Sus scrofa: one gene and its partners. The protein of the gene in region 3 interacts with the protein of the main gene of each other region in a pairwise test. Links are inferred from orthologs where the notes say so. Each region holds a gene or a part of one and is shown on either strand. Other genes may lie near its edges. The genes, in order: ZCCHC10, NRIP1, CEP70, GPATCH4, FAM133A, BRMS1 and SUV39H2.

Region 1 (3,183 bases), on a different chromosome or scaffold from region 3:
GACCGGAAACTTCCAATGCTGTGGGTGGGGCCAAAAAAAAAAAAAAAAGAATAAAACCGTGACTATAAAGTACACCTTCTCTGTACTTTTTTCCATTTCCAGAGCTCACTTATAGCCTAATGCCTTATTCTGATTCCAACACGATTTTACTATATTGTACAGTCACACTAACGTTTGTGGAATGAAAACCTATAGTCTGATGACTCCTTTTAATATAGTTGTGGTCGAGAAATAATACCTTTACTACTTTTGCCAGAGACTCACATTCCAGAGTTCTGCTTTTAGGCAAGACGGGGAGACTCCCTTTAGAAGGTACCCTCCACTTCGCCCTTGATTCTGCTTTTCTGAGTAAACTGTGTGCCTCAAGTTCCTGTCCTCTGAACTTTTTCAAGGAAACCTTTAAACAGGTGTAGTAGCAAAAATAATTATAATTGAAATGCCCTTACCATCTAAATGGATAAGAAATGGCATGAAGTAGCAAGGGGATAACAGAAGCTTAAGCTTATCAGCACAAACTGAATTTTATTTAATTACAAGTGATATAACCTATGTATACAATTTTTCCCTTCCAAGTTTTTTAACTGCTAAAATTTCTCTTACAGAAATTACAAACACTGTAAATTGCACTTCGCTAGTAAATTATCAAATTTGCCTGTCAACAGACACAATCTGTATGGAGCCTTGAAATGATGTTTTGAGAGTTTATTGACAATCACTGAAAGCAGATAAAACAGGAAATGACAGATCCTTAAACTCATAACACACATAAACATTTAAATAGAAGTCCATCTTCTTCAAAAGTAATCTTTTACTACTTTTTCATAGAAATATAAAAGATATCTGTAATTTTAAAAACCTCTATTTCCTGCTGTATAGCACAGGGAACTATAATCACTTGTGGTGGAGCATGGTGGAAGATAATGTAAAAAAAAAAAAAGATGTGTATAAATGTATAACTGGGTCACTCTGCTGTACAGCAGAAATTGACAGAACATTATAAATCTACTATACTAAAAAAATGTATTTAACCCAAATCAAAATTTTTCTACAAGTGATACCACTTTCCAAAAAGTTCAAAAGACCTCGCAAAATAATCTGATGTTAAACCAAATAATTTCACCAGGACAGAGTATTTCACTTTTAAGAAATATTGTGCAGTATTTCTTTTTAAACTTTCACACTAGATTTCAACTGTTTATATACCATGTAACTGCAACAGATTAATCCAAATCATTCACATTTATGCAGTAGACTGTCATCTATTACCAGTTACCACAAAAACTGTCATACCACAATTGCAAAATGGTAAAAGGCAATCTCTATGAAAACTTAAAGAAATTGTAGTAAAAGGCAACCAATATTACTCTAATATTCTGTAAAAATTACCTCTCTTCTTCCTACCTCTTTCCCCTTCTGAATGGTATTTTGTAGCACATTAACACACAAAGGGATTTATATCACTTTTACTTAAGTTAGCTTTTCTTCGGAGCTGTAGCTTCCAGTTTATGCCACAGCCACAGCAACTCAGGATCCAAGGGCTGCATTTGTGACCTATACCACAGCTCTTGGCAACAGTGGATCCTTAACCCACTCATTGAGACCAGGGATCAATCCCACATCCTCATGGACACTAGTTGGGTTCATAACCCACGAAGCCAGGATGGGAACTCAACTTAGTTTTTCAAATGACTGTTTTCTTTTTTGATACACTGGATTTATCAACAGAAAACCAAGATTAGATCCCTATATAGTTTAAGAATTTTTGTTCCCTTTTAAAAGTTCCTCTAGAATAATTTTCCTCGGAAAAGGGTAACTCTAAGAACCAGAAAAAAATGAATGATATGATACAGTAACTAGAAATTTGTACCATCCAAAAGGTATAAATTTATTAATAGGTTCCTTGAACTTTCAATTTAGGACAAGAAGTCAGAGTAACTTTCTGAACATAAACATAAAAATAGACCACATTTATTAACAGTAGGAAAACTCCTAAGCTTATAGTAACAATGTATTAAATCTTACATAATAACATACAGCCAAAAGCTTTAAAAATTCACTGTCAGATATTTTGATGCATTATCCAAAAAACATGGCTGGTACATAGCACTAACATATCATAAAGTATGGCATTTATTTCACAGGGAGAAAACATAAATTTATTGGATTTCAGCTGTGATTAATTTTAGAGATATATTTTAAAGATAAAAAAGAAAAACAAGATTTACCCTTAAAAAAGTCTTTATAATATAATCAATTACTAATACTCTTTATGTTCTTACAATGAAAAACATTTAGAAACTTTTGGACTCCAGAAATTTTGACCAGTTAATCTATTTGGCCTTAACACATTCTAAATTCCCTTCTGAGAATCACATTAAAGTTTTCAGTCCATCAGTCCAGTACGGTTGGAGCAATTCTATTTCTTTTTCTTCTTCCGTGATGGTTCATCTTCAGAGCTGCTATCTGTGCTGGTGCTGCTGCTACTGGAAGAGCTGGAATCTGAGTCTGAATCAGAGGATGAGGAGGAGCTGGTGGAGGATGAAGATGAAGAACTGGAGGAGCTTTCATCAGTGTCACTGTCCTCTGAGGAGGAAGAGGTAGACGACTCTTCACTCTCTGATGAAGAATCACTGGCTGAACTGTCACTGCTGTTGCTACTGGAACTGGTCACACTCTTAGACCTATTAGACAATTATATGCACGAGAAGCTGACATTTAATAGAATGTCGAAAAGCAATTTCCCATGAATAGTGTGTGTGTGTGTGTCTGTGTGTGTGTCTGTGTGTCTGTGTGTGTAGCTTTGTTAGCATGCTCTCCCTATTCTGAGGCTTTGGGGATTGCCTAACTAACCCCATCGTGCCCACCCTCTTCCCTCAACCACAAGGTCTTTTACTTCAGCAATTTAACTCTCTTGGATGGAGTTCAAGATAAGTGTATCTACTATATTTCGCTCCAGAGTGAATGATGTTAGAACAAAGTTGTAGATTAACAACTGGGTTTATATAAACCTCCTGTGGAGTAGTAAATGTTTCATAACCTTAACTACTTTATCCCAGATTTAGCTGGTCAATTATCTCTTACTACTCTAATAACATTTCTTAATCTAACCCAAGAGAAATTATTTACTATTTCCAGGTATAAGAACTCTAGAAAGTTGAAGAAAAAGGAGAAATGACAGTAAAC
Region 2 (3,498 bases), about 100 Mb from region 3:
TGGCTCAATAGCATATTAAGTTTTTCCAAGAAAAACCAATGGTTATTTTTAATCACTATTTCAAAATCACAGATCCGATGGAGTGACTGTGTATAATTCTGTCATGTATATGTGCCCTCTGTATTTGTTTGTTTAGTTGAGTTTAGTGTCTTTCTTGGGTTTGAAATAAATGTTTTCATCTTTGTCAGCACTGTTCTGAGGACAAGGATTTTAATAGAAGTTAAGGATGTATTCGGGAGGAGTTTCCAAACCATCCTGGAATCACCTGAGTTTGGTAAGTGGCCCTGTTAGTCCATCCCTAAGGCTAATTAAGTAGATGTTACTCATTAGAACACATAAATAATCACAGATTTTCCTGAGATGTTGAGCCAGGTATGAAAGTTGTCCCCTTCACCCAATTTTTTTTTTTGTCATAAAAAGTATTCTGAACCCGATTTCCAAAGACATAACAGTAATATACGAAGTACAATATTGCAAATTTTGAGTTGATGTGTGACTATACTGGGGAAAATATAGGCATCAAATAGTTTGTTTACAATCCTGTGTTCTGAGAAAAGTCAGGCAATGGTTTTCAAATTTCAGAGTGCAGAAGAAACACCTAGGGAGTGTGTTAAGATGCAGAAGGAAGATTCCCAGGTCCACTTAGCAGAGATTCTTGTTCTGTGTAGATCTGAGATGCTGCCTAGGAATCTGCATTTTAAAACTAGTGCTCCAGATGATTCTAACGCAGGTAGTCTGAGTCCAGCTTTATTAAGAAACCCTGGTCACAAGACTCACAGGTACCACAGAAATGGTGAGAAGTAGCTTTTATAAGAGATGGTGAAAACTGTCCAAAGAAAAGCCATTTTGCTTCTGTTAAAAACAACTTATTTCTACTATTCAGGAAACCACCTGAAGATAAATGCTAACTCTCCTAATTCTGCAAAAGGAGGAATATTAATTTAGTAAAGTAGTTAAAATACAAAAATGGAAATCTGCCTTTTTTTAAGATCTATCAAACTTCCATCAATTGTAATCAATTTTTTACTAAGTAGTACAAGGTTTAAAGAAATATAGTGTATTGAAAAGGACTGGGGTGGAGCAGACACATTAGGGAATCATAAAACCCCTTCCAAGAGTTAAAAATAATTTTTTCTTTAGCAAAAGTGAAAAATGTAAGCATATTTTTCCTAATTTATGTTTGAACTGAATTGAGAAATAAATCCGAACTAGGTTTTTTAATTGAACTAGGTTCAACAATTATCTTTAAAGAGTTATTATTTAATAAATTGGCCTTAAAAAAAAATGTGTTGTGTAGGCTGACTTCTGAAAAGCAAAATAAAATACCCTAATAAAGGCAGCAATGCATTAATCCACTGTGGATGAAGATTTACATTTTAATGTATGCCTGTTATCTGTGATTAAAAAAAGGATATCATTCATAGGCTACTCACAGTTGTTGTCTGATGCATACAAAGTGTTAAACAACCACTGGCTAGTTCAGCAGCTTCCTCATGACATCTAACGTAAAGCAAAAAGTAGTATGCATATTTAAACATCACCAGGAACCAAGACTTTTCAAAATGAGAAAGTTTCAATTATACCATGCTTTTCTCAAATCATGCGCTTATTTATACAGATCTCAAGTTCAAACTCATTTAGTTTTTAAAAAGATCCAAAGATGGACGGCAGGTACATTTTATTCTGATTCCTTTTTTATTGTTAGCATGTTTCCCAGAAGTCCATAAACTTCTCCATTTGCGCTGTGTGGGCGAGAGGCATTATTTCCCATATGGCTATTATAAGGGCTTCTTAAATTAAAGAAAGAAGCTTTAGTTTCTGCAGCAGGGAGTAACTCTTCTTTGATTGTAACCTGTGAGATGTTTTCAGCAGAGGAAGGCTCCCTCCAAACGTCCTTGTCTTGTGTTTCTCGACTGGTAACAGAATTGCCTCCTTTCTGGAGCATGTAATACAGTATTGGGTTAGTTTTGGTCAGTCTTGGAGAGTCTTTTTCATACTCATTCTTTTCCGCGTCTGTGATAACCCACTTAATGGGTCTCTTCTCACTGGGCATGGAACACCCGTTCACAAGCCCAGATTCTGGTCTGGACCCTGTGCAGCCCAAGTGCTCAGGGAAAGGAGGACTCAGGGGAGTTTTGACTCCTCCTGGGTATGGAAATGTCCTGCTGTCCATGCAACTGCTGGGCTGAGCGGCACTGTACATCAGTCCATTTAAAGAAGAAATGCTGAATTCAGGCTTGCTGTTGGTCACACTGTTTTTGCATCCTTTCTTTTTACTGTCACCGACAGAGTTACTCCGATGCTGGGACAAATCTCTCACACAGTTTTCTGAGAGAAGCAGCTGTTTCAAAACGTTGAAGCTTTTGCTCTCTCTGGCCCAACTCCTGTGTTCACTTTCGCTGGGTGAACTATGACTGCCAGGGTATTTCAAGTCAAGCTCATTTCTGCTAAGCTTCAGCTCTTGCTGGTTAAGCAAGGACCCATACAGCACCTCCGGAGCACTGTGACTGCCTGCAGCATCGACTATGTTATTTTTCATCTTTTTAAATGGATTTTCTAACGGCTCAGTATAAAGCTTCCTTTTCTTAGGGACCATGCAAAGATTCTTTGATTCCAAAAGTGTCAGTTCACTGTTTCTGTGACTGCCGTCCAGGTCATCAGCCGGGTAGCTCTCTTGATTTTGTCTCAGCAAGCGACTTAGCAGACCGTTCTTTGAGAAAGAAAAATCCTGAGGTGAAGCGGGCTCCGATTTCAAGTCCTCGGGAGCTGGTAAGGCAGCTGCGCCTCTCTGCACGGGAGGAGCCATCCCTAAGAATGGGGCGCCCTGAGCATCGGGGCTCGAGTGCACATCCGGGGTGTGCGCGTGGAAGTCGTCGCAAGGCTCAGATTTTATTTTCACCATCAATATTTGTTCACTTAAAGCTCGGTCTGTATGTTCCTGAGTACTTCCCTCCCTTAAGGGAATCTTCTCTTTCTTCTCCATCTTCCCTTTGTTGGAGTTTCCCAGCAGCAACTGGAGGACAGTGCGCCTTTCAAGCAGATTTTCTATTTCGGAACCAGAAAGTCCGGGCTCAGGGCCGGCTGAGTGGCTGCCGAATGCTTTATTTTCTTCAGCTGGGTTTGTTTTATTTGCGAGCAGAGGGCTACCGAGTCTCTCCATCACACCTGTAGGTTTATCCGTGTTGACGCTTAGCAGCTGTTTACTGGGTCTCTGCTCTTCCCCTGACATGGAAGACTGCATGCCACACTGCGCTAAATTTTTTAACAGCTTGCTGGCACTGAACGTGGCAGAGTTTTGTGCACCTTCGTTTTGGACTGGTTTCTCTCCTTGCAAGTCTTTGCTCTTTGTAAGGTCCATCAAGCGGTTGGAGGTGGCATTTGTTGGCTTTTCAGACGGAGGGCCACAGGCATACGGTGGGGAATTCCATCTAATGACCAAAGAATGCTGGGAAAGGTTGATGGGAGACTCGGCTTTGGCCGATGCAAGTAGGGGTGGAG
Region 3 (3,500 bases):
CTCTTGAAGTCTATGGGCTTCATTAATAGGACTAGCCTTAATTTTTTGTTTGCTTATTAAAAAGGCTTAGTTTATCTCAAACTTGAATCTTGCTACTTATTCATCTTTGCCTCCTATAAAGTTCTACCAAACAAGACATTTTTTAGGCCTATTGCCATGTTGAAAATCTGTAGTGGATCCACTTTGTATTTCTTTCTTTTTTTTTTTTTTTTTTTTGTCTTTTTGCCTTTTCTGGGACCGCTCCCACGGCATATGGAGGTTCTCAGGCTAGGGGTCTAATTGGAGCTGTAGCTGCCGGCCTACACCAGAGCCACAGCAACGCAGGATCTGAGCTGCGTCTGTGACCTACACCACAGCTCAGGGCAACGCCAGATCCTTAACCCACTGAGCAAGGCCAGGTATTGAACCCGCAACCTCATGGTTCCTAGTTGGGTTCGTTAACCACTGCACCAAGATGGGAACTCCCCACTTTGTATTTCTAGGCCTTTCCCAGTTCTCCCTCCATCTCCCTCTCTTTGGTATCCCTGTACTACAGATTCTCCTGGCTCTTAGTCCTCTTCACATATGATATCTTATCCTTTATTTCATTTTATTTGAGAATGTTTTCTCTCTCTTCATATTTTAAATTATTTTCCTTCTCTCAAAACTGAGCTTATCTCCACCTCTATATGTTCTCTAGAGCAGATATCTACTATTACGTATACTGTCTATCCATGGAAGATTAACATTTCTTCACTTTACAGAGATATTCTGTATTCTTGATTGTATAACTAGGTTTTTTTTTTCCAGTTTTTGTTAAGTAGTTCATGGATAGGTTAATTGATAAAGGCAGCAGCATTTAATTTCTGCTTATTTAAGTAAAAATATTTTGATATATTGAATCAAATATATTAAAATTAATGTCACCTGTTTCTTGTTACTTATTTTTTTGGCTGCTCCTGTGGCATACAAACATTCCCAGACTTCCATAGCTTCTCAGGTTGTGGCCAGGTATCAAACCTGGTCCACAGCTGTAACCAGAGCCATAGCAGTGACAACACTAGATCCTTAACCCACCAAGCCACAAGGGAACTCCTCTTTTTACTTTTTAAAATGTGGCTACTAGACAATATTACTGTGACATACATTTCTTTTGGACAAAATTGTTCTAAAGGACCAAACAGTGTACCATGTGCATAGTAGATGCTCTATAAATATTTATTGATTGTCTATTCTTAGACTTCCACACTTTTAGGAGCCTTGCTTGTGCAGTTTTAAATAGGACAAAATGGCTAGGCCAAGAAAACTAAGTAGGCTGTCATGAAGATTAAGTAGAATTATTTTAGGCCTCCTCTTGAATTAAAAACTTTCCTGGAGATACATGGATGGATCTTGAAAATATTATCCTAAGTGAAAGAAGCCAGTCACAAAAGGCCACTTACTGTATGATTCTATTTTTTTTTTTTTAAGTAAAATCCTCAGAATAGGTAAATCCATAGAAACAGAAGTAGATTAGTCGTTACCCAGGGGCTGGGAACAGAAGAGAATAGCTGCTCATGGATACAGGGTTTTTTCTCTTTTTTTTTTTGGAGTGATGGAAATGTTCCAGAATTAGTTACTGGTGATGGTTGCACATCTCTGTAAATAAGTAAAAACTGCTGAATTGAACCCTTAAAGAGGATGAATTTTATGGTATGTGAATTACATCTCAATTAATCTGTTATTTAAAAAAAATCAAGGACATGGGTATTCCCACTGTGGTGCAGTGGGTTAATGATCCAGCCTGTCTCTGTGGCATTGCCGGTTCAATCTCCAGCTTAGAGCAGTGGGTTAAGGATACATCATTGCCACAGCTGTAGTGCAGGCTGAAATGTGGCTTGGATTTGATCCCTGGCCTGGGAGCATCCATAGGCCATGGGTGCATCCAAAAAAGGGAAAAATAAATAAATAAATATCGAGCACAGAATAGAAAGCATAAGCTTATTTTTTGTCAATAATTCAGAATAATTAAATATCTGCTACTAATAAATAACATGTAATTGCTTTAAGCATCTGGATTCTAAACTGGTAATGGTGGAGTTCCTGCTGTGGTGTAATGGGTTGAGAATTTGACTGCAGCAGCTCAGGTCGGTGCAGAAATGTGAGTTCAATCCCTGGCCTGGTGCAGTGGGTCAGAGGAGCTGGTGCTGCCAGAGCTGCCATGTAGGCTGCAGCTATGGCTTGGATTCAGTCCTTGGCTCAGGAACGTCTCTATGCCACAGGTGCAGCCATCTAAACAAAACAAAACAAAACAAGACAAACCTGGTAATGGTACTTAAAAAACAACAACAACTGATGATGGTTTATATATATAAAACCTGCCTGGATAATTATATTTCATTAGTGTTATTATGGAAACTTTAAAAATCAATAATAGCATATCTTTTTTTTTTATGAAGGATTTGTATAAGTCCTTGAAAATACTATCAGCAGAACTGATGCCTTGGCATAATTTAAAGAAGCAGGATGAAAATGAAGGTATCAAAGTTGAAGATCTGTTGTTTATGGTAGATACCATGTTAGAAGAACTTGAAAATAAAGAAAAGGTAAAACTTATATAAATGTTCACATTTTAATGTACTGTTATCTTGGAAACTGATAATAATGAGAAAGATACTCTATTAGACCTCTGTTTCTCTTTTTAAAGTTTTTATTAAAGATTTGGAATAATTTAAAGATGTAAGCTATCTTTCTTTTTTTTCTTCTCTTTTGGGCAGGACAGTAATATGCCAGACTTTCAAATTTTGCAAGCAATTGTTTCTCACTTCCAAAAATTATTTGATGTGCCTTCTTTAACTGGAGTGTATCCAAGAATGAATGAAGTTTATACTAGGCTTGGAGAAATGAACAATGCTGTGAGAAACCTCCAAGAACTCTTAGAACTAGGTGATGACCTTTTGTCATTCTTGGCCCCCTAAGAATTATTATTAATAAATCAAGAAAAAGTAGGTTAAAAAATTGAGGCTATTTGAAGCATAAAATATTTGATTTAATGATTTTAAAAATTCTTTTTAAAAATATTCTATCCTTTTATTTCTCTTTTGCAGATAGTTCATCCTCATTGTGTGTACTGGTGAGCACAGTTGGAAAATTGTGTAGGCTGATTAATGAAGATGTGACTGAAAAGGTTATGCAGGTATTGGGACCTGAAGACCTCCAAAGGTATTTATTTAAAAAAAAGGTTGCAAAATATCCAGAATATTTGGAGTGGTGAAATTAAAAACTTCATAAATTATTTACCTTTCCTTTTGGAGCAGCATTTTTTAAGTAACTTGACAATCTAAAATAATCTCAAGACCTTTGTGATGGGGGGAATGTCAGGTGTTTTCAAGATAAAAATAGATTCTAGGGCCTGTAAGTTTACATTGGGTGGGTCAGGACTCCAGCATTATTGCTATAAGCTTGTTCCCAAGGGAAATTTTATATATATATATGGAGAAATTCAAACCTTGTTAGCAACTTCATGAGCACAGAATATATGA
Region 4 (4,234 bases), on a different chromosome or scaffold from region 3:
CTGGCTGCTGTCTTGTTGAAGAGCTCATTCCACCAGTGGTTTGTGAACTCCTTGGCAGGGTCGTGTCCCACCTGCCGGAGGACGAAGTATGAATGAACCCAGGACGTGTTATTCCCGTCCCTCCCCTGGCCTCAAGACCCCCCTCTCCCATCTGCACTGACCTCCCCCAGCCAGCCCAGGCTTACCCCATGAGTGTCCTGCTTCAGTGTCACCCTGAGGGCCTGGGTGATACCGTTCTCCTTCCGGCCCAGGCCTTTGCCTACGGAAGACAGTGAATGATTTGAACACCCCAAGCCCTCACCCCAGCACATGGCGGATCCTTGCCATCCACACACCTGGCACTAGGAAAGCCCCCGCGCTCTCAGAAGCCCTCCCAGTTTCATTCTTTCCAGCACCTCTCCATGCAGCCCTCCTGTCTTCCAGCCTGAACTATCCTTCCTTCATAATTCTTTCAGGACAGAGGTCATGTTTCTTCCTCCCCCTCCCAGTCCTCCCACTTCTTTCTCCCATTCTTTCCTTTTCTGGAAAAGCCAGCAACTTTCTTCACAAATTTCCCTTTAAACTAACTTTTCCTCCTGCAGTTGAAAGGACTACATAGGGTTAACCCAGAAGGATCCCTCTTCCCCAGGCAGAGGCTTGGGGGTACGTGGAAGGGGCCTGTGGGGATCACCTTGAGTCCATCCATGCTTTAGCAGCTGCTCCTCAGCAAACTTCATCCCACGACTCTTGACCTCTGGGGTGACACTCATGGTGAGAAAAGAGTCACTGTCCTCAGCCCCTCACCAGAGAAGAGGAGTTCACAGTCATCCCTTTAAGAGGAAAGGAAAAAGTGCTCAAATCCTGCAAAAAATCCATCCTGACTGCTCTTATAAGAATTCTTTCTTGCAGAGTTTCCATTGCCATGCAGCAGAAACAAATCCGACTAGGGACCATGAGGTTGCAGGTTTGATCCCTGGCCTCGCTCAGTGGGTTAAGGATCTGGCATTGCCATGAGCTGTGGTGTATGGGTGCAGACACAGCTCGGATGCTGCGTTGCTGTGGCTGTGGTGTAGGCCGGCAATTGTAGCTCCGATTAGACCGCTAACCTGGGAACCTCCACATGCCGTGGGTGCAGCCCTGAAAAAAAAAAATTCTTCCTGGAAGCAGAAACAGAGGAAGGAGGCCTGGTCCTTGAGTGCTCCCTGTCTGACCACAGAGAGGTTAATATCATCATGTTGAAAATCAAGGAGGATTAGTATTAATAATAACACCTAAATTTATGGAGATCTCACTACATGCCAGGCTGTGCTAGGGCTTTTTTTTTTTTTTGTCTTTTTAGGTCCGCACTCTTGGCAGAAGACTCTGGCCTGACACAGTGGATTAAGGATCTGGCTTGCCACAGCTGTGACATAGGTTGCAGTTGCAGCTCAGATTCTGTTCCTGGCCCAGGGAACTTCCATATGCCACAGCTGTGGCTGAAAAAGGAAAACAGAAACAAGAAACAAAAACTAAAGACTATCACTGCTGACCTGAGTCACTTAAATGAAGTTGTGTTAAGATCATTTATTACAAGCATTGCAGACCATTTTTAAAGCCAATTAATGGCACTACTGGAGTAATCCTCTAGCCTCCCCAAATGACAACTCCAAAGGCCAAAACTTTCATTTGTGTTTAAGAAGGTCTAGGAAGTATCCTAGTTTGGGGGGGTGGGGGGAAATCAGACACATCGTTAAGTCACTCCTCCCAAATATTCCGTATTAGGCCTAAGAATGATGACCAGTCTGGTTAGATAGGAAGAGGAGCAAATTTAGGATGACTCACATGTCTGTTCATATTTCTACTGTGAAGGATGGTTACCTGAAAACCTAAATGAGATCTTGAGAGTCCCAACAGAAAAACACTGAGTGAAGAAATGGCCCTATCTTGCTTCTTGATACTGCAAGAGAATTCAAGTTCAAACACTGAGGTCTTTAAGGCCACCTCGAGGCTCTGCCTCTTCTCAGAAGTTATTTCCATCAGGCCGCAGATTCAACAACAACTAACATTTCAGCATTCATTCAATGCCAGCTTCACACACATTACCTCATTTCAACAACCCTATGAGGAGGCATTTTTACCTTCATTTCCAAATGAGGAAAAGGCATTGAGACGTTTCATTACTTGTCCAAATGAAACAGCTGGTAAGTAGCAGATTTAAGATCTCAGGCATCCCAGAACTGACATTCTTAATCACTAGGGTCCTCAGTCTGACAGCCATTAGTGCTTTACACTGTAGGACTTTACCACAGCTTGTCCCTCTTCACAGTAATTCGAAACTATATGCCCTGGTTTTACTCCCCAACCCCGGTGCTTCTAATGCAGCTCCGAGAACAGAGAATGCGTTCCGTCGTTATTCGCTGAACTGAAGGACACAGGTGGAAACTGCCTTAACAGAATGGATAACTGTGGACAAAAGCAACTAGATCCCAGGCTCTGCGCCGCAGTCTTTGTGAAGGCAGCGACTGCACGTTCAGGAACTGTTTTCTCTCCAGTTAACCTGAGTTTTCTGGAGAAGGGGCCCAGGTCCACAATTTTTAGAGCAGATCCAAACAGCCAGCTACCGTTTCCCTAGACCTCCTTCCTCTTGAGATCTAAATTCTAGCCCTCCTACCGCAGTTTCGCTTTGGTGAAACTACTTTCCTGCTCTCACATTTGCTTCTGAGCCCGGGCTCCGACAGCCACCGTCTGGGGGACTACAGCTCCTTACCGTCATTTGCAAGGTCCTCTCCGCAAAAACACATGCCAGCGACATCTTGCGCGCCGCCATCTTCCCGGAAGTGCGTTTCAGTCCTTCTAGGCGGTGGAAACCATAGAGATGCTCGCGGGAAGCAAAGTCGCCGTGGTCCTCCGGAAAGTACTTTTGCGTGGCCCACGTACTTGTATGGTTGTCATAGAAACTCAGCCCCAGAGCGCGCCCAGTTCTAGAGATTTGGGAGGTGTCCTGCTTCTTCCCTGTAGGCCCTGAGCGGCCACGGGACTTCACCCCTAACCGGCTCACTTGGGATCCTGATCCTTCCGTCTGACACCGTCTCGTCCCAGACACAAATAGGAGGAAGGAAAACTTTAGGGGGAAGCACCGAGAGTGGCCTGAGAGGTTCGTAGAGGCAGAGGAGGTAGTACCTCTGAGGTGGTTTGGGGGGATGAATACTCAGCCTGTGGGAAAACAGTTATTTATAAAATCCTAGAGAAGAGAAGTTTCAGTAGGTTTATCACGTTTTGACTCACCACCGTATGCCAGGACCTGCCCCTTTGGTACCAGTGATTCAAAGATGCATAAGACTCGAGCCCTAACTTCGGGGAGCACCTAGTATAGCCCAAGCAAAGTTGGGACCACGAGTGGGACTGAAAAGAGAGGCAGGATCCTGGAATCCATACCAGGCTGAGGTGTTTGGACTTGCCTTGTCAAGTATGAGGATCCCTTGATCAGAGGAGGGAAAGAACCTACTGCCAGGAAATCAACAAGAGAGGCTGCACACGCTCTCATTACCACAGACTGTTCCAAGGCTTAACTAAGCCACCCAAGAATAAAATCTGAAAAGAAGAATCCCTCGTTTTCATTAATTCACAGTAACTTAGTGCTCCTGCCCCACCTCCACCCCCCCCAGAACTTCAAAGGCTATTTCCTAGTAAAACCTTGTAATAATTGCTCAGTCTTTCATACTCCCTCATCCCCATAAGATTTTTTTCCATAAAAACTAATTTTACTTTTTTTTTTCTTTGGTCCTTTTTTTTTTTTTGGTTTTTTTTTTGTTTTTTTAGGGCTGCACCCAGGGCATATGGAGGTTCCAAGGCTAGAGGTCTAATCAGAGCTGTAGCTGCCAGCCCATGCCCCAGCCACAGCAACACAGGATTCGAGCAGTATCTGCAGCCTACACCACAGCTCAAGGCAACGCCAGATCCTTAACCCACTGAGCAAGGCCAGGGATCTAAGCACAACCTCATGGTTCCTAGTCAGATTCATTTCCGCTGTTCCACAACGGGAACTCCTAATTTTACTTTCAAAATATGCTACTTGTGGGAGTTTCTCTGTTGTGATGCAGAACAAACTAACCCGACTAGTATCCATGAGGACATGGGTTGGATCCCTGGTTATGGACCTGGCGTTGCCATGAGCTGTGGTGTAGGTTGCAGACACAGCTTGGATCCTGCCTTGCTATGGCTGTGCTGTAGGCTGGCAGCTATAGCTCTGATGTGAACCCTAGCCTGGGAGCCACCA
Region 5 (3,803 bases), on a different chromosome or scaffold from region 3:
CTCCAATCTATCTTACAGCCTTTGCAATCTTGGATTTCCCAGCCCCAGGAGAAGAAGGGATCATTGTGATCTGGCTTTGACTTTATTATATATGTCTTGGTCAGCACCTCATTTCTGAAGTATGGATTGGGTAGGAAGCAAAACTCAAATGTGTAACTTATAGGCCGGCCAGGTTTTGAGAACTTCAGGCTAACATCTGACAGGAACTTCAGAATGGGCTCATCATACTTCTGAATCATGGGTCCCAGCTTGTCAACATTCTTTAAGACAGTCAGCCAATAGTCGGGAATGCCTTTAGGATCTTCTCTTTTAGGCTTTCCTTTGCGAGCTCTTTTCAGAGCCCTTTCTTTAGGCCTGACCTCAGGAATTCTTTTAGGAGCTTCTTTTACAGCAACCCTGGCCTTAGTCGCCTCTGTTGCTTTAGGCTGCTCTCTGTCTTCTGCCTTTGCTTGGGGGGCTTCTTTTGGATCTTCCTTTACTTCAGGCTTGGCCTCCAGAGCATCTTTAGACTCTGCTCTTTCTTCAGCCTTTGCCTCGGGATTTTCTTTAGGGGCTGCATTTTCTTCAGCCTTGACCTCAGGTTTTGGTTTTGGGTCCTCTTCTTCCTCACCCTCTAAGGCAGGCATTTCACTAGGGCCCTCTTCCTGCACTTCCTCATCACTGCTAAACACCTCATCCTCCGAATTCCATTCACATTCTTCCTCCGTGGGCTCATATTCTGCATTGATGATTTGGAATCGCCGATCATACAGAGGCCTATTGAGTTCGGCATATTTTCTTTCGAGCTCGTGAATTGCCTTTAAGAACAGGGCGTCTACCTTGTCACATTCATCTTGAATATTTCTGAGCGCCTGCACACGATTTCTAACTGCCCGAGGCAGCTGATCCACGAAACTTCTACCCGACGGAGCCCGCCGCGCCCTTCTGGAAGGCCCAGGTACCCTCTTCTTTCTATAGAAACGGCTGCGGCTATTGCTGCTGCTGCTGCTACTGCTGCTGCTGCAACTAGTGCTGCTGCTAGAGCTGCTGCTGCTGCTGCTGCTGTCAGATTCTTCCCCAGAATCGCTAGACGAGCTAGCCACCATCTCTTCATCCACCCCCTGGGCCGCAGCTCCCGAGACCCTGTTAGGATCCGCTTCTGCCATTCTGCAAGCCTGCAAACCGCTTAGCGTGGTGACTACCGCGCGCACAGAGATGGGCCGAAAATGACTCACGGATGCTTGGGTGGCAGCGGTGGAGGTCGGGGCAGCGGCGAAGGCAGCAGGAGTGCAGGGCGGGGTGGGGCTGGGCTGAAGCCGCGGAGGCGGCAGCGACACTGGAGGCCTGAGCAAGAGCGGCAGAGGTAAGGGCTCTCCCGGCTGCAGCTGCTGCGGACCGAGGCGTGCCTCAGCCGAATGGCGCAGTGCGAGACCCCGAGATCTCTTCACTACTAAGATATTGAACCCCCCCCTCCCCTAGCCGTCAGACCTCCCGTTAATTTCGTTCCCAGTGTGCCCTTTAGCTCTCACCTCATTTGCTAGGCATGCTTGATCGACAAACCCTCAGGCCAATGAGTAGCCAAAAGCACCGCCCCCTCCAGACTCCGCCCACCTTCCCAGACGCTCCTAGGTAGCTAAGGCTCATACCCCAGGAAGACGTTTTTCCCCCTCAAAATTTTATCCTTATAGTTTTATAATTCAAAAAAAAAAAAAAGCTTAGCTATGAGGTAAAAATACTAGTCATGGTTTCTAACAAGGGAAGAGGAGTATCCTTCTCCCATCTGCCCTTCATTAATTCCCGTTTGGTTTGTCAGGGGCCTCGTGACAAAAATCTGTTTTTTAAAAATTGGATGAAAATACTCCAAATGACATCTTTGGGTAGTGTGCTTGTGGATGATTTTTTAATTCTCTTTCTTCTATCTAGATGTTCTATGAGCATGTATTTTTACACTGGGGGGAAAAGAGGGAGTCGTTTATTGGCAAAGCGGGGAGGGGCTAGAAAGCAGGCATATTGCCTTCCACGTAACAGTTTTAATAAGTGCTGTCTGTGGTGTTTGGCAAGCCTGGTTTATATCCATCTACAAGGTTTGCGAACCCATGTTGCCGTGAGTCAGTTACACCATTTTTTACTATATTTCTCCTTTTAATTTGGCGTGTAATAAACCCCAACCTTGCTGCTGATTTGCCACGTAGTCCTTCTCAATGCTTGTAACAACCTTGTAGATAAAATAAGAGGGCATTCAAATGTTAGGTAGTATTTTTTAAAAGCAGACGCTTTGTTCTATACTTTCATGCAGCACTTTTCCATTCCAGGAATAGCAGGATGGGAGGGGGAGTCTGTGCTGATGAAACTGCATCCTCTGTCAGGGTATACTTTACAATGTCATCTGCCACCAGTTTCCTTCTAAAATTGTAAAATGCTAGCCATACTAAAGTATGATTTACAAATCCAGTAATATGTGAATAAACTTGCAAAATGAAGTTTAAAAACAGCTGTTATTTTTATTTGCAGGATTCTTTTCTGCCACAGAACAACTCCCTTGGTACAACCAAAAAGACCCGTGTTTACTTTTCATTAAAAGGTAAGGAACATATTTAGCCCATTTTTATGAATGACAAGAATTACCTATATATATTTGAATAAAAATTCACGACAGAGTCTTTTAAAGACTTAATTGGAAGATAGTTCTATGTAAGCAGAAAAATCCACAGAGGTGATTTAGAATATTAATGAGGAAAATAACCTAATTAATGACATTCACTTTCTAAACCTGCTCATAGAAAGCAAGTAGCAAATTAAAACATAACATCTGATGAATTATTCATTTCAAATGAGGAAAAATATTAAAGTAAGATTAATCTTTATGTTGCTTCTTTATTATAGGATTTGTGCTTAGTCATTTAGTCATGTATTTATAAATTAAGAAACACTTTTATTTTCTATTTTGTAAATGAATTTAGTTTTATTGTTTATTCCTGATTGTCAAAGTATGTAAGCATTGTAAGGGAAAATACAATATAGAAAATTAAAATAATAATAGAAATACACAATTTTAATCAAATGATAACTATTGTTAGCATTTTGATGCATTTCCTTCTGGAATTTTCTTTGTACATGTACATGCCTGCCTATTTATATATACTGTTTCATCTTGTGAACTTATGTTTTGTAACCTGTGCATTTATCAGTTAATTGTGGCTATACTTTCATAGAAACCGATCAATATTTTATTTTAAAATAGATGCATATTTCATGGAAATATTTGCCTTAATTTACTTAACCAGATTCCTCTTGTAGGGCAGTTACTCCCTGCACCATCTTTCCACTAACGTACATTTTCCTGTTGTTAAAAAAGTTAACCCTGGATACCTGCTATATGAACTTGTAAAAACTAGTCATCTGATGAATTCCTAGAAATGGAAGTGCTAGAATGAGTTGTATTCTCATTTTACTCTTTGACACATATTGCCAAGCTTCTCTCCAGAAAAAATGATCACAATTTAAAATCCCAACAATAATGCATGAGTTTATTTAGCCATTCAACTAATATATTTTTGTGCCTGCCACGTGCCAGGCACGTGTGGTAGAGGATAATGATATAATGCTGAATAAAACTTAATGGGTGCATATCCTCTCATTCTATAATTTTCATTAAAATATATACTATGGAAGGTATGATTTAAATCAATGAAATTATGCTATAAATATTGTTCTACAAATTATTATTTTTTTAAATGATGGACATATTTTGTTAATGCTTTATATTTTTATAGTACTTTAATGATTTCATATATATGTTAAATTTTATACTATCAAGAATCAGC
Region 6 (4,143 bases), on a different chromosome or scaffold from region 3:
ACCCACTGAACGAGGCCAGGGAGTGAACCCACATCCTCATGGAGACTCGTCAGGTTTGTTACTGCTGAGCCACAATGGGAACTCCTGGGCCCAAACTTCTGATCCGGGCTTCCAAGGCCCTGCACAGACTGGACTTGAATCACCGGTCCAGCTCCTTCACCCCACCATCTGCTGGCCAGTTCTCAAATATACCACGCACTTCCCCACCAGCCCTAACGCCCACGGCGCTATTCTTTCTTTCTTTTTTTCTTTTTTTGGTCTTTTTAGAGCCATATTCGCAGCATATGGAGATTCCCAGGCCAGGGGTCCAATTGGAGCTGTAGACGTTGGCCTACACCACAGCTACAGCAACGCCAGATCCAAGCTGCGTCTGCGACCTACACCACAGCTCACGGCAATGCTGGATCCTTAACCCACTGAGCGAGACCAGGGATTGAACCCGAAACCTCATGGTTCCCAGTCAGATTCCTTTCTGCTGCGCCACGACGGGAACTCCTGTGCTATTCTTCTGCCTACACCGCCCTCCACTTCTCTTCCTGAGAACACTCTACGATGCTTGTGTTCTCACTGGGCTCAAATCCTATCTCCTGCTTCCTTCATGATCTCATGTCCTCAGTGCTGCCCTCTCCCTTATGCATCTTCAACTCTCGCTCCTGACAGCTCCTCCCAGAGAACGTCAGACGTGCTCAGGTATCTACCACCAGAGAGAGAAAGCAGAAACACAAAACCTCACCCCACCCCACTGCTCGCCGTTTTCCACCTCATGGCTACTTTTCAAGGCCTTGTGGACACTTGCTATTCCTACTCGCCCACCTCCCACTTGTTCTGTTCCTGTATCATCACTCTCAGCTGAAGCCCATCCTGTAGAGTTAACTGACGAACTCCTCGTACCTAATGCCAGTATTTTTTGGTGCTTATCTTAGGTTGACTTCTCAGCAAACTGAACAGTCTTAAGCATTCCTTCTTTTAGTCACTCATTTAATATTTACTGAAGATCTAATACATGCTAGGTAGCAGCAGACACTATGGTAGGAGCTGGGCACAGGTGCGACAGTCTCTGACCTCAAGGAGTTTACAAGTTCCTGGGACAGAAAGGCTAAGAAACAGACTGTTGCTGTGGGGTGAGAAGAGTTAAGACCAGGGGCTTACGGGAGAGGCATCTAACTGGGACCTGGAGCCTGCTGCAGCAGTGAGGGCCTGCAGAGGAAGATGGGCCAGACAGATGAGCTGAGCTGGTCAAGAGAGGGTGCATTCTAAGTAGAGTGAGTAGCAGGTGCAAACACCCCAAGAGGAGAGAAGGGGGCAGGGCTGGGGGTCCATGGGTCTAAGCCTCACAGAGAAATGTGGGCTGCAGAGATCTGGTCATCACATCGTGAGTTCTTCAGGCCTTGGGAGAGGGTGCAACCAGCAAGGCAGAATGTGTGGAGTGAGAAGGAGTTCATGATGGAACTTCTAGGGTCATCAAAGGGGCAGATGACAAGATGCCAGGAAAGGAGAAGGAAATTAGCAAGAGACAGAGGAGGAAAAAGTCAGAGTATAGGGGGAGAGAGAGAATTTCAGAATGAAGGAGATGAGACAGTGCCAAATGCTGCCAAAAGATCGCCCAAGAGGAAGACTAAACAGTCTCAATAGATCATTTCTGACTAAAGGGGTTTCTACTTCACCGGATGTTTTCCTCTGGGTACTTTGTAGTCCTTCAGATCCGCGTAGATGCCCCTCCTTATTTATTTCCACGTCTGTTGCCCATCCTCATGCCTGTCTGTGAGCCTCCCCAGGGCAGGGCTGCACACGCGCTTTACCCACCCCGCGCAGTACTGACTCACTAGACCACTGGAGGATTTGCGAATGCAAATTAAACAAAACACATTTTTGCAGGGCAGGAAATGGCTTTCTTAGTAGCCCCTGGTCCCTACAGTGGTAGCAAACCCAAAGTGTTTTGTCACCTTTCCTTGACATCAGTTTGAGTAAACTGACTGGCCTAGAGGGCCGTTTCAAAGCATTCCTCAAGGATTTCACAAATGATCTGAACCTGAGCTGAAAACCTCGGTTCTCCAAATCAGCCTCCTCTTTCCCTTTTTCAAGCCTCAGTTCCTGGAGTTCCCAAACTTTGCAATTTCTCTTCACTGTTAAATATATTTTAACAACTCGGGGTAAGTCCCACCTTTCTGGACCAGAGAGGGCGGGGCTTGGGGGGAGGTCTCTCTCCACCAGTCTCTGGGTCTACTGAGAGAGCCAAATTAAATCACATCCTCCCCACTTTAGCCCGGGTACAAAATGAGGATAACCATCACTACTCTGGGTGTTGTAAAGATGGCAAGAGGTAAGGGATCGAAAAGCAAACTATAAGGTGCTGTGCACATGCAATTTATCTTTTCAGAAAGCGAGCATGTCAAGGGCACGCCTCGTAGGAAGGAAGATTCTTCCCCACCCTCGAAGAAGCCGACCCAGTCCCTCCACGGCGCACCCAGAGCCTCGCGCCCCGCTCCATCTCCGTACGCGGCGGAGCGGGCGGGAGAGTCACTGGCTCCTCGGTCCCGCGGCCCCAGCTCGCGTCCGGGCGGTTAAGTCTCGCTACCGCCCTGGATATTGGGCAGGCTCCGACTGCCTGTCCGAAAGGGCAAACCAGGCGCCAGGGTTGGCGTTACGCACCCGTAGGTAGTGGCGCTTCCAGCCTCACGTCTTAGATTCCCCAAGAGGTGCCGGAGGTTATCGGTACTGGCTGCCGCTGTGGGGGTCCCGGAAGCGCCGCACCGGTCCCTCTTCTCCGGGGGCGGGGCCTACCCGCGCTTTCCGCATGCGTCATCAGGAGGCGCCCATCGGAGTGCTCACAATTGGATAGCTGGGGCGAGGCATGCTGGGATACCGCGGGACGGTTTCCATGGCAACGGACCGACATTCACACAGGCTTTCAGCATGCAGGAAAGGCCCTTGTGCCTTCCTAGCTTTGCAGCCCTCGCGTCTGGGTCCACAGTCACCTCCCGGCGGCGCGAAAGGGGAGAACCTGCGACCCGCGGCCCCCACCCCCGCCCGGTTCCGGAGAGTAATGGAGCCAGCTGTAGGTGTGAACACTCATTTATTTACACATTGTAGTCGGTAGGCAAATCACCCAGCCCAGGCTATTCAAGGGTACAGATCTCAGACGCACAGAACCTGCAGATCCTTCCCTTCTCTAGAGCCCCCGGGACGGAGGCCTAAGACACCAGGAAGTTTCGGCTTCTGCCCAAAAGCTAAGAACTAAATTCAACGCCTTCATCTGATTTCTTTCCAAAAAGCCCATTTTGTTAACTACTCAGACTTCTCAGCTCTGCCCCCATTCATACTTTTTGCTCTCCTACTGCTCACCCACCCAAGATTGTTAATAATAATAACAATAATAATAACAACAATAATAATACTGTAATAATATTAATAATACTTCACATTTGTACGAAGCTTACAGAATGTTTTCACATATAGCATCTCATCTGAGCCTCCCAGCAGTTCTGTGAGGTAGGTATTCTCACCTCCCTTTTACAGACGGGGTAACTGAGGCTCAGAGAGAGAACGGGATTTGCTCAAGGCCACACAGCTAGTTAGTGGTTAAGCTAGGACTTGATCCCAGCACCCCATATTCAAGTCCAGTGTTCAAACACCACAGCTACCACTGTAAAGTGGAGTGACGTTTCTTACCCCAGTCAGGCCTGAGGGGCGGCCTAAGGAGGGAGGAGGCTGAGACTTCTCAGACTAGGGGAAGGAAGGGCTCAGCAGTGACGTGGGGAGTCGGGGTACTTGGCCTTCAACTCCTGCTTGAACTGACGGTAAAGGATCTTATTGTGCTGATTTTCGGCCTCCTTTTGGGGGTGGAATTTCAAAGCTTCTTTGAAGCCTTTATGAACCAGGAAACCTTCGTTCAGCACCTCAAAATCGAATCCTGCCACGTGCAACTCACAAGCCTGTGGAGGGAGAAATAGGTCAGCAAAGTTTGATGAGGTTCCCAGGCCAGAGACGGACATCACTGCTCACTCCAGCATGCCCATTCCTCTGGAGGCATCCTGGATCTTTCAGCCATCCAGCCACCTCCTAAACTATGATCCCTCCTGCCTCACTGGCTCCTTTCCATCCAGGGCCACCCACAGCTCCCTGATTTCACCATCCCTCCTGCCC
Region 7 (4,236 bases), on a different chromosome or scaffold from region 3:
ATCATTTACATGTCTTTAAGAAAAAGTTAACCATTAAAGAACTATTTTGGTAAATCGGTCTTCTTGGATTTTCTCATGGGTCTCTACCCTAACATGTTTAGTTGATGTCAATTAGTTTCTACTAGGCCACCTGAACAAAATGTTTCATGTCTGTAAGCTTTCATAAAATTACATGCATTATATGTGGAATCTAATTAAAAAATGACACAAAAGAACTTAATTTATAAAACAGAAACAAACTCACAGATTTCAAAACCAATCTTAAGGTTACTATAGGTGAAACCATTGGGGGGAAGGGAAGAATTGGGAGGGTGGGAGTAACATACACACACTACTGTAGAAAACAGATGATTAATGAGAATCTACTGTATAGCACAGGAAAATCTACTCAATGGTTTGTAATAACCTTAATGGGAAAAAAGAATGGCTCTATTTATGACTGATTCACTTGCTGTACACCTGAAACTAACACAACATTGTAAGTCAACTAAGCACCAATAAATTTTTTTTAAATTACATATAAATGCAAAGGTAGAGATATTTTTTACTTTTCCATTGTATTCTACAGAGAAGTGCTGTTTTAATAAAAATGTAGATCTCAAGGACATACTAATCATCACTATAAATACATCTTAAATATATTTTAAAATTATCGTCTATTGTTAAAAGTAACGTTCCCCCTTTCTCCTAGCTGAACAATAAGAAATAAAACCTAATTGAAATATAATTCTTTAGTTACTCATACATCATATGGCCTACTTTCCCCACTTTGGAAGGCTGCATGAAGTTTTAACTCCAGTTTTGCCCAGGCTGCAATATATTATTATCAAGGTAAATAAGCCCAAGAATTATAATAAAATAATGGACAGTATATTGAGTTTTCTAATATTCAATTCCTGTATTGTTTTTAAAGCCGAGAATGACAATACAGAGTATCAATTTAAATAATCCATACACCAAGCTTGAAGAAAAGCAGACATACTCATAATCAAGAGTATGCTAGAAACGAATGGAAGCTAGAAACTAACTGTGCTGAGGAAGATTTTACCCTCAAATTCCTGTAAATAGCATGCTACCCACTGCACCTAAAATGTTAACACAAATTGATGTCATAAACTTGGTTTTATGGCTATGAGACTATGAGAAGCACTAGGGAGGATCAGGGGGTTTTGCCCCAGATTCCCTGAGGCTGGCTTTAGAGAAGTTTCTCTGTTTCTAGGTTTCAGATTCACTGCGGGGGGGGGGGGGGGAAGAAAGGAGTGAGGGTTGGAGTAAACTGGGATTACCAAACAAAATCCATCAGTAAACGCAAGCTTTACTTGGTAGCTCTCCAAGGTAGTTGTGATAACCTTTTGTTTTGAAGTAATTTCCAGGGAAGAGAGAACACAGCTGTTCTTACTACGTCCTCACCCTCCCCAACTCACACAGGCACCTCACCGTCAGGAACCGTGAAGTAGGGTTCGTAATTCCAGACCAAGAAAGTGAAAGGAATTGTTCTCTTCAAAATTTAGGGCTAAGAGTGTGCTTGTTTTGGAGTGTTGGCTTGGACGTAGGGGAATTTGGCAGAACAGAAACGACCCTTTAAATCCTTTCACTGAAAAAGCTTCAGGAAGTTTTGCGTCAAGATAACCTCCTTATGCTGATGGCATGCAAAGGACCTTCCTCTGGATTATCTACCCAAGGTATGTTTGTCTGCTGTTCCTACCATTGTTATCTAGTCGGAGTACTATGCAGATTCAAGACACAAGCCTCGACAGAAATGCTATGTTTGAGAACGACTGGAACCTAAAAAACCTGCAAACTCCTGGTAACAATTCGGATCGCCTCTAATAAGATAGGGAAAGAACTCCTTTATAAGATTAAACGTTTCGCGACCACCCCCAAAACTTGAGTTCACACTAACCCCTAGTGGCAGACACGCTGGGGGGCAGTGAGTCCACGATCTATGCCGAGAAGCGCAGTGCTGGAAACACCTTTCAGGTTCCAGAAGGCATTGAAAGTTCCAGTCTTTCAGCGCGCGCACAAATACACGTTCAGCACCGAGCTCCTTGGCGTCCACCTCATTAATTCCCACGCAAGCTCCCGCCGGGGAGAACTCTTCCCCATGAGCCGGAGGCCACAACCTCCGAGACCCACTTCCTGGGATGTTCCCAACTGGGAGCGGAAGCCCCCCAGTAAGTCCAAAATGGGGTGTACCCTCACTTCTTTCCTTTCTCAGCCTCCACACCTCCGCCCCGACTACTCCTCTCCTCGGATACTGAGGTCACACCTACACCACCGGAGGCCTCCCGCTCCCCAGTTCAAAAACCGGCCCGGACCGCGAACCGTCCCGCTCAAAGCAGCACAAAGGAGTCGAGCCCCCCGTGTGCCCACGGACCTCGAGCCGCGCAGGGATCCGCCGGAGCCGTTCGAACGCCTCCGCACCGCGGCCGGGCCGGGGCCCATCTCGGGCCCGAACGGCAGCGGGACCCAGACCGCCGAGTCCGCGAGCCGGCAGCGGGGCGTGCGGGCCTGGCCTCGCGGGGGCCGGGCGCGGGAGGAGACTGCGGGCCGCGGGCGGGCCGAGCCGCGAGGAGGGTCAGGGGCCCGGGGCAGGGAGGGGCCCGCGGCGCGCGTGTAGGGGCCGCCGCGTCAGCCGCGCGGCAGGAGGCTTCCTGTCCCGTCGCGCTCCGGCCCGCCCGCGCGTCCCGGCCCCGCTTCCCCGGCCTCGGGAGTTTGCCTGGAGGACGGGGGACAGTGCGGGGCGCCGCTCTCCAGCCCTCACCTCCTCGCGCCTCGGCCCCGGCCGCCGCCATCTTGAGGAGCTTTCATTCAAACTGGCGCGGTCGGACGGGATAGCTCAGCTGGCCGACGCCCCGCCCCCGCCCGGCCCGCGCGGGACTCGGGGGCCGGGGCGGGGGGCTAGAACCCGCGAGGCGTCCTGACGTCAGCCGAGGCCGACTTGTCTGGGACAGCCAGCGCGCCTGCGCCCCACGTTGTCTCCCCGTGTGCGGAGGGGCGGGGCAAACTGGCCGGAGAGCAGCCCGTGGCCGGAATACCGGAGTGTAGGGCTGGGTCAGCGGCCACCTGCCCTGATCTGCCTAGTTTAGCGCCTAATTCAAGGCACTTACCACAGGCTTTCCTACAGTTGTTAGTTCTTTTCCATGGTGCTACTGATACACACCGTGCAAAATTTCAAACGCAGAGCGGAGCTACAAAGTGCAGAGTACGTTTCCTTCCCGTACCTGTTCCTTAGCCACCTGAGCCCTACTAGCCACTGTTACGTTTCCTTCCAGGCTACTCCTCCAGATCACAGTTTCTCAAAATTGGCTGCACGTTGGGATTCCTTGGAGGTTTGGGGTTTTTTTGGTTCCATTCGCAGAAATTTAATAGGCAAAAGGTGTACCCGGAACATTGGAGTTTTTAGAGGTCCCCAGGTGATTCTAAATGTGGAATTTGAAACCTCTGGTCTAGAACAGTGCTTCTCACACTCGAATGGGTACAGGAATCATCTGAACATCCTGGTGTTTTTGTTTGTTTTGCCTTTTTTTAGGGCCACACCTGGGGCATATGGAAGTTCCCAGGCTAGGGCTCAAGTCGGAGCTCCAGCTACAGCACATTTCGCAGCAACAGGGATCCTTTACTCACTGAGCAGGCCAGGGATTGAACCACATCCTCATGAATACTGGTTGGGTTAGTAACCCGCTGAGCCGTAATGGGAATTCCCTGGGCATCTCGTTAAAATGCAGATTCGAATCAGGTATGTCTGGGTTGGAACCTGAGGTTCCGCGTTTATGACGAGCCCCCAGGCTACGCCCCATGCCTGTGGGTAGGCTGTAAGATGCCAAGTCCTACAGGTCCTTTGCTAGGACCTAACTGGTCTCCACTCCCACCCCGCCCCCGTCCATTCTACACACTGCGTCCATGGTAATTGTACTGCACGATCTGATGCGGAAATCTGAGACTAGTAAATTGCGAAAGTTCCGCAGAAAGCTGTTTAATGTCTACCAACGATTTTTAAAAGAAATTTAAGTAAAACACAAAATTAGTTCAAAGCAGCCTTTATGTTTGAAATGTTGGAAATAAACGCAGAACATTAAAGGAATTAATTTGTTTGATTATGTTATTAAATACTATCTAGTCAATAAAACATGTTTATGAGGACTTTGCTATCATGGTGAAGTGTTTAATATATCAAGCAAAAGAAAGAGCTATAAAATACAGTTTCAACTGCGTAAGAAAATGTGTAGGAAGATA

What was found.
Region 1: the proteins of CEP70 (region 3) and ZCCHC10 interact in binary tests that used the Homo sapiens proteins (3 or more experiments, as listed by UniProt). The two-hybrid records come from large-scale screens. The link is inferred for Sus scrofa from reciprocal best matches to the Homo sapiens genes CEP70 and ZCCHC10.
Region 2: the proteins of CEP70 (region 3) and NRIP1 interact in binary tests that used the Homo sapiens proteins (3 or more experiments, as listed by UniProt). The link is inferred for Sus scrofa from reciprocal best matches to the Homo sapiens genes CEP70 and NRIP1.
Region 4: the proteins of CEP70 (region 3) and GPATCH4 interact in binary tests that used the Homo sapiens proteins (3 or more experiments, as listed by UniProt). The two-hybrid records come from large-scale screens. The link is inferred for Sus scrofa from reciprocal best matches to the Homo sapiens genes CEP70 and GPATCH4.
Region 5: the proteins of CEP70 (region 3) and FAM133A interact in binary tests that used the Homo sapiens proteins (3 or more experiments, as listed by UniProt). The two-hybrid records come from large-scale screens. The link is inferred for Sus scrofa from reciprocal best matches to the Homo sapiens genes CEP70 and FAM133A.
Region 6: the proteins of CEP70 (region 3) and BRMS1 interact in binary tests that used the Homo sapiens proteins (3 or more experiments, as listed by UniProt). The two-hybrid records come from large-scale screens. The link is inferred for Sus scrofa from reciprocal best matches to the Homo sapiens genes CEP70 and BRMS1.
Region 7: the proteins of CEP70 (region 3) and SUV39H2 interact in a two-hybrid assay, tested with the Homo sapiens proteins (2 studies listed by BioGRID and IntAct). The link is inferred for Sus scrofa from reciprocal best matches to the Homo sapiens genes CEP70 and SUV39H2.

What each region holds. Positions count from the first base shown.
Region 1 is NC_010444.4:135,326,036-135,329,218, reverse strand, and holds the end of ZCCHC10 (zinc finger CCHC domain-containing protein 10), read right to left. Parts: intron 2,682-3,183; coding exon 2,417-2,681; 3' UTR 501-2,416; downstream 1-500.
Region 2 is NC_010455.5:179,825,729-179,829,226, forward strand, and holds part of NRIP1 (nuclear receptor-interacting protein 1), read right to left. Parts: coding exon 1,679-3,498; 3' UTR 1-1,678. UniProt on the Homo sapiens protein: Modulates transcriptional activation by steroid receptors such as NR3C1, NR3C2 and ESR1. Also modulates transcriptional repression by nuclear hormone receptors.
Region 3 is NC_010455.5:79,310,441-79,313,940, reverse strand, and holds part of CEP70 (centrosomal protein of 70 kDa), read left to right. Parts: intron 1-2,417; coding exon 2,418-2,564; intron 2,565-2,735; coding exon 2,736-2,904; intron 2,905-3,065; coding exon 3,066-3,180; intron 3,181-3,500.
Region 4 is NC_010446.5:93,484,931-93,489,164, reverse strand, and holds the start of GPATCH4 (G patch domain-containing protein 4), read right to left. Parts: upstream 2,801-4,234; 5' UTR 2,726-2,800; intron 810-2,725; 5' UTR 750-809; coding exon 671-749; intron 260-670; coding exon 186-259; intron 72-185; coding exon 1-71.
Region 5 is NC_010461.5:76,148,349-76,152,151, forward strand, and holds the start of FAM133A (protein FAM133A), read left to right. Parts: upstream 1-1,500; intron 1,501-1,584; exon of another isoform or gene 1,585-1,608; intron 1,609-1,614; exon of another isoform or gene 1,615-1,705; intron 1,706-1,725; exon of another isoform or gene 1,726-1,856; intron 1,857-1,890; exon of another isoform or gene 1,891-2,083; intron 2,084-2,490; 5' UTR 2,491-2,560; intron 2,561-3,803. Other genes in the region: NAP1L3 (nucleosome assembly protein 1-like 3), read right to left, coding at 1-1,145.
Region 6 is NC_010444.4:6,044,734-6,048,876, reverse strand, and holds the start of BRMS1 (breast cancer metastasis-suppressor 1), read right to left. Parts: upstream 2,801-4,143; 5' UTR 2,650-2,800; intron 1-2,649. UniProt on the Homo sapiens protein: Transcriptional repressor. Down-regulates transcription activation by NF-kappa-B by promoting the deacetylation of RELA at 'Lys-310'. Promotes HDAC1 binding to promoter regions.
Region 7 is NC_010452.4:46,897,094-46,901,329, forward strand, and holds the start of SUV39H2 (histone-lysine N-methyltransferase SUV39H2), read right to left. Parts: upstream 2,801-4,236; 5' UTR 2,796-2,800; coding exon of another isoform or gene 2,765-2,795; intron 2,557-2,764; exon of another isoform or gene 2,378-2,556; intron 1-2,377. UniProt on the Homo sapiens protein: Histone methyltransferase that specifically trimethylates 'Lys-9' of histone H3 using monomethylated H3 'Lys-9' as substrate.